Bombyx mori: one gene and its partner. The protein of the gene in region 2 purifies or fractionates together with the protein of the main gene of each other region. This does not show direct contact. Links are inferred from orthologs where the notes say so. Each region holds a gene or a part of one and is shown on either strand. Other genes may lie near its edges.

Region 1 (3,500 bases), on a different chromosome or scaffold from region 2:
CCTAGACTTGAAAAGGTCACGATAAGAAGGTTATCGTATCTGTGTTCTCATATGCTGGTCTGATGCTGTGTAAATGGATCTACACGAGCTCCCACTGCCTGTTGTCGGAGGGCAAATAGTATTTCAAATATTATAGTGTTACGTGCTGGGGTTCGGGATAAATAAGCACTTAGAACACTCTTAATTCGCTTCAGGTGATCCCTTCGCTGTTTCGCTTCGAATAGTTACTGACTGACTGCGTGCCGTCTCTGCACGGCTTTTATAGTCGAGACGACATCCCTAGAGTTATCGAGAACAATCCTCACAAGTCGAGTATTTTCGGTGTGTGTTTCCTCGATCTGACAATAGATGGCGTTGTACTTCTCGAGCATTCTAAATGCTACTAGATCCTTCGATATTCGTTCGGCTATTCGGCGATAGACGGCGCTACTCTTACCGGCGTAACCATAGTATCGCATATAGAATGTTCTATACAAAAGCGCGCAATGGAACAAGGCCGTAGTCGGTAATGTGACGTGACGCGCGTGCGCAGGTCCGACGAGGAGTCGGACGCGGAGTTCACGGACGGCGATGTGGGGCGGCTGCTGATCGTGACGCAGACGACGCGTGCCGCCAAGCACGACGGACACGACCGCCAGGGGGACTGGACCAGCCGCACCAAGATCACGCAGGACCTCGAGCAGGTGGGTGCCGGGGCTGATCTCCGTCTTTAAGTTTAAAAAAAACTAGCGACCCGCCCTCGCTTCGCTTCGGAAACTGTAATTTATTATTGATTTCTCCACTATTTAATGGATGTTATTATACATATAAACCTTCCTTTTCAATCACTCTATCTATTAAAAAAAACCGCATCAAAATCCGTTGCGTAGTTTTAAAGATTTAAGCATACATAGAGACAGACAGATATAGGGACAGAGAAAGCCACTTTATTTTATACTATGTAGTGATTATGTAGTATGTAAGTGTGGGAGGCTAAAACGACAATAGGAAAGATCTTCCACCGAGCCGGTGATACTTTATAGTTAAAAAGAGGGTACTTTTGTTTTTTTTAACATATTCATAATTATTATTTTTAAACAGGTCATTACCGACGGACTGCGTCGTTACGAAGAGGACCTGTGGAACGACACAGAATATACTTCAGTGAGTGTTGGATTTGATTCATGATTTTTTTTTGTACCTAAGCTGGTGTAATCTAAGGAGTTATGCCAGCGTCAGCGAACGAGTAGGTGAGCTTACGGGGCTCTAACCTGACGACGCAGCTAACACTAACCCTAACAAGAGTAGTGCTTCGCAGAATCTACCACCGGATCGGAAACGCGACCCACTGAGAAGATCCGGCGAGAAACTCAGTGGGCTGTGTCTGTGGGTTCATTTACTCGTCGAGCCCTTCGTCGCAAGCGACGGGTTCGACGAGGACGGTGACCGGGTTCAACTCGAAAGACAATATATCCGATGGTAGATTTGCCGAAGCACGGCTCTTGCTAGGGCCAGTGTTGGTAACACTCCTGATTAGAGCCCCGTGAGCTCACCTACTCGTCAAGGAGAAGCTGATATAGTCTCCCAAGGCTATCAGCATAAGTAGAGAAAAAAGGGTTGAATTATTAATGAGTACAATTGTTACAGTCGTACGGTAGCGGCCGTGAGTACCGCACTGTGAGCCTGATCAGCCGTGAGCAGTTCGAGGCAGCCGTGCCAAACGAGCGGCATAGGAACCCCGCCCGCCCCCCGCCGCCCCCCGCGCACCCCCACCACCAGGTACACATGGTCGGATCGGATAATACGGCTTACCAGCAAATGGTTTACGCCTTCTTTTTTTTTATTGCCCTTGTAGGCCGACGAGCATACGGCCCATCTGATGGTGACTGATTACCGTCGCATATGGACTTCAGCAATGCCAGGGGCAGAACCAAGCCGCTGCCTTGCTACCTTTAGCCGAAATTGCAATCTTTAGAGTAAATTTTTTTAGAAAAACTTTTAAATATGTAATACTATTCTATGAAATGGTCAAATAATAGGGGTTAAAGTATGAAATTGCCATGCAAAATTGAAACGGACTACCCTTTTTTTCGTGATTTGGAAAATTTTCTACGTGATAAAAAGCTTTCTTCCCTGGAGGCAGTACAAAATGCTTTCACACACTTTTTAGAATTTAGATCACTAGAGTTCTATCGCAAAGGCATAAATGACCTTCCTATTCAATGGCAGCAATGTATAGATAATAATGATAGATATTTTGATTAAATAAATAATATGTTGAATGAACAAAAAAAAAAAACAAATTTCAATTTTGCGGTACAAATCGACAATTTCATACTTTAACCCCTAATATAATATTGGCAATATTTATTAATTATAATGCATTAGTCTTACCCTGTTAAAAAAATCACGAAGAATTTGATCGCGTTCGGGGATCCATTTAATACACTTAAAGAAATAACAATGTTTACGAGATTAAAGTTTAACAGAACACGTCGCGTCACGACACGCCACGACAAGCTACTCAAGATCATGTATACAGAACGCGTCGCATTACGACAAGACACTAGTATTAAATTGTTTTCGCAGGTGGATCAGCAGCCGGCCGGTGGCGGCAAGGCGTCTCGTCCCCGGCGAACCGCGCGCTTCTACGCGGCCAGCAAGGACCCACACGCTACCGATGTCATGTCAGTAAACATGCCAATATTACATTTATTTTTAACACGCTTTTATTAGCTTCAGACATATGAGTCGTCTATTATCAAAGGTGGCAATCTGTGCATTTGGACAAAAAAAAATTATTGATATGTCAATACAGATTGATTTGAATATAATCGTCTCCTTCAAAGAATACGGTTCAAAACCTGCATTAAATAAAGGTTAATAGTTAACCTGTTATTTATCTAAGATGTCGTTCCGAAGAGTTTTGTGACTGCCAATGGAATACAAAGTCAATAATTCGTTTTTCTGATTTACCAATCATTGTCCAAAAGTCAGATTGCCGGCTTTGATAATAGTCGACTCATATGTATGTTTGTAACGGAATCTTTCAACATGATTTTGACCCCCTTCAAAACGTCGTGTTAACTCGAAATTTGGTATACTTATTAAGGACCGATGACAATTCAATATTAAAAAAATAATTGAAAATATTGAAATTCCACTAAAAAATTAAAAATAAATACTTAATAGTTTAAAAAAAACAAAAAAATACGCTTTTATAGAAAATACAACTAAAAAATAGAAAATAAATTTTAATAAATTTGAATTAAAAATAGTGTAAGGAAAAATGATTTTTTTGTAAAAAAGCGTGGGGTGCATGGTATCAGTAGTCGACGAACAAGTCGACGTTTAAACCACCCAAGACTACGCCCCACCACTACCATCCGTGCTGTGATTAAGGATACCCTGAATTTATATTTGCAGCTGCAGCAGGAAGCACAAGACCAGATACAGCCTCAACCCGCCCGTGGAGCACCACGTCGGCTGGATCATGGACGTGCGCGAACACCGACCCAGGA
Region 2 (3,500 bases):
ATTCAATGGACGCGTTGTTACGTTTTGAGTTAATTTTCTGGCGGATTGTCGAAGTAATCGATCTTGGGTTCGGCCGCCGTCTGCTTGGGCTGACTGCGCGACGCCCAGGCGTTCGATGACGTCAGCGTCGCCCAACCGCCTGGCGACCTTCGGACAAGAAAAGCATTGTCATCATCTAGAAATTTCTATATATCAGTGTTTCACTTAAACTGGTGTTTGTATAGTCAACATTATTACAATACATTTTAATTATAGAATTATAGGTAAGTGAACGACTTTTAAATTTATCTTTTTCTTTGTGTACTGTAAAATTTTGAAATGCTTATAATTTTATTGGGTTGTAAAAAAAAATGTTCAGGATCATTAGCTTTATCCGAACTTCAGAGGCATGGGGTTGGATGTCAATTGTTTCAGTTTTTCAATTTGTATTTGTTCCAAATAATTGGTAGAGATCCAGGCTTCCAGGAAAAGACAAAACACTATATACATAAATGATTATTATCGGCGGAAGACTTGAATTTTCCAGTGACCATGGCGTTTTTCTATATCGACAACTCACTGAATTCATAAGCCGTGATAGGAATCCGTTCAATAATATCATTTGTATTGACGGTATGTACATACATAACTCAATACGTTGACGCGCCGTGCGTCGTCATTGTGGTATCTAATTATTTTATTATATTCTTGTATAGCAGCGCACTTAGCAAAATGTACTCGTTAACACGCTACCATTTGTATTTAGCTAACATAATGTTACGCTGGTAAGCGTAACGCCATCTATCGCCGAATAGTCGAGAATTACAACGCTATCTATGGTCAGATAGCATGAACTACGACTAGAGATGTGTGGAATATTCTCGATGATTCTAGCGATGAGGTACCGGCTATAAAAGCGTTGTAGGGATGGCACGCAGTGTGTTGAAGTGATTAAGTGTTTTAAGTGTTGAATACAGTTTTTAAGTTGTACTTTGGTGAAATTTTATTTATCCCGAACCTCAGCGCGTCACAATAATAAAGTTGCTCAAACAACATACTCTTTTGGAACTTTAAAAACTTCCCCTTGGACCCCAACAGTATTGTTTAATAGTTACTTGTTAGCGGCGGAGGAGGAGGTCGTCGAGGCTGAAGAGGCGGCGGAGGAGTGCGCGGTCCGCAGCACGGGGCCGGGCACGCGCCGCCGGCCCGCCTCACGCGACAACACTTCCATTATGCTCATCGCCGGCAACCACGACTGTCAACACAACGATCAAATATCACACACTGTATTACCTTGTTACACTACCCGACTCTAAAGAGCAATGTACGAAATTCTTCCTTCTCCACGTTTTTTTGTGGTTTAGATGGACGAGCTCACGGCCCACCTGTTGTTAAGTAGTTACCGGAGCCCATAGACATACAAATACAAAGCAAATGCCGCCACCCACCTTGAGATGTGAGTTCTAAGGTCTTAGTATAGTTACAACGGCTGCCCCACCCTTCAAACCGAAACGCATTACTGCAGAAATAGACAAGACGGTGGTACCTACCCGTGCGGCCTTACACGGCCGTGCGGTCTATGGGCTCCAGCAACTACTTAACACCAGGTGGGCTGTGAGCTCGTCCACACAACTAAGCAATAAAAAAAAAACTTCACGACTTATGTATCGTGTCAGCTACCACCGACAAATTTAGTACACAAGGGATTTCGGGGGCGATAAATCGATCTAGCTACGATTTATTTTCAGAAAATGTTGTTTTATTCGTGTTTTCAATAATCAACTTTATCGATAATCAACTTTATGACTGTTCCCGACATCTATTGGCGAATAATAATACTATTTTTCATAATTGAGAGCAACTAACTGCTTTAAAGACACAATAACACTAAAGCTATTTCAGCAGATGGCGTTGTTAAGTCACCCGAAGCCACTTAAAAATGCCTAAACGATCTTGGAATTTTTATGTAATTCGTATTTAAATATAATTTCTAAAAAACACAATTTATCAAACAAAAAAAAAAAAACGAGCAAAGTTTGGTCATCGTCTCGTAAGGTAATAATTGCAGTGGTAAGGCACCTTCTCCTTGTCGGCAGTGGCCACCACGTTCCTGTTGGGCTCCGCGTCGTAGGCCACGCTCTCGCAGCCGAAGTGCTCGCACAGCTCGTGGATGAACTGCCGCTTCTGTCTGTTCATCGACGGGAAAGAGTGCGAGCGCGTCTTCTGTTTCGACTGGGGGGAAAATTGATAACAATTTTAAAATTCGAACGTAATAGATTGGGTGCGATTTTTTTATTTATTACTAGCTGACCCGGCAGACTTCGTAGTGCCTCAATCGATAAATAAAAGACACAAACAAAAGGAAACCGTCCGACGGGGGGACATCAATGGGAAAACAAAATTGTTATTTTTAATGAATTCCGAGCATTTTCATATTTATCTACCTTTTAAACCTTCTCTGGACTTTCACAAATCATTCAAGACCAAAATTAGCTAAATCGGTCCAGCCGTTCTCGAGGTTTAGCGACTAACGAACTGCAATTCATTTTTATATATATAGATTACTATAGTAGAATTATTTTGTCCGTGCAGTTTGGGTCATAAAAAATCGGAGCGGTGAAGCGAGTATTTCGCTCTCTCTTCCACTCATGAGTCTTATGGACGGGCATAGTGATGCGCATTATTGTTGACGATAAGCGTTATCGATAGTGTATTTAGTTTTATCATTTTGTGGGTTAGTGATAAAAATGAAAGAAAAAATCACTACTCGAACACTTACACCACATATCGCCGCAGAAAGTTAACGAGAACGGCAGAAATTAACATTTTGTAGCTTTTCGGGATCTATTTTTATTTCAGTGAAAATTTTTAACACTATGTTGATAATAACACGTGCAAATACTATTTTAAATAAATTTTGCCGTTTTGATACAAAACAAAGAGTGACCATTGTGTCACTAAAGAAATTCAGAGAACGAATGCATAAAAACACATTTCTCTTCGACATAATGTACTATAATTTGCAGGTAAGTACAAATGACTCATAACATAACAATGTCTCACCACCCTTCGTATACCACCCCACCGCCGTGTAAGGTGCCCTCGATGACTCATTTGTTTTTATTCATAATGGCGTTGCGCCCGCGCAATATGCTCACTGCCCTAGCCGGGCTATGTTTTATGATCCAAGCTGCACGGACAAAATAATTCTACTATAGTATTATATATATTTTGTTTAAAGGGGCCTGTACGAGTCATGTACCGTACATGGCACGCGCGCATTCACATCAGCACTTTTACATCGCTTTACTCGAATCGTAGTATAAAGCGCCAGTACAGATTCAGCACTTTTTGTGCCGTGAAGCAGTAATGCGTTTCGGTTTGAAGGGTGGGGCAGCCGTTGTAACTATACTGAGATCTTAGAACTTATATCTCAAGGTGGGTGGCGCATTTACGTTGTAGATATCAATGGGCTCCAGTAACCACTTAACACCAGGTGGGCTGTGAGCTCGTCCACCCAT

The links.
Region 1: the proteins of protein shuttle craft (region 2) and la-related protein 1 purify together in Homo sapiens (affinity purification with mass spectrometry, with the first as the bait; 3 studies listed by BioGRID). This does not show direct contact. The link is inferred for Bombyx mori from reciprocal best matches to the Homo sapiens genes NFX1 and LARP1.

The regions. Positions count from the first base shown.
Region 1 is NC_085117.1:2,878,319-2,881,818, reverse strand, and holds part of la-related protein 1, read left to right. Parts: intron 1-532; coding exon 533-683; intron 684-1,080; coding exon 1,081-1,143; intron 1,144-1,626; coding exon 1,627-1,758; intron 1,759-2,568; coding exon 2,569-2,666; intron 2,667-3,405; coding exon 3,406-3,500. UniProt on the Homo sapiens protein: RNA-binding protein that regulates the translation of specific target mRNA species downstream of the mTORC1 complex, in function of growth signals and nutrient availability.
Region 2 is NC_085123.1:3,121,750-3,125,249, forward strand, and holds part of protein shuttle craft, read right to left. Parts: intron 2,212-3,500; coding exon 2,059-2,211; intron 1,235-2,058; coding exon 1,095-1,234; intron 148-1,094; coding exon 30-147; 3' UTR 1-29. UniProt on the Homo sapiens protein: Binds to the X-box motif of MHC class II genes and represses their expression. May play an important role in regulating the duration of an inflammatory response by limiting the period in which MHC class II molecules are induced by interferon-gamma.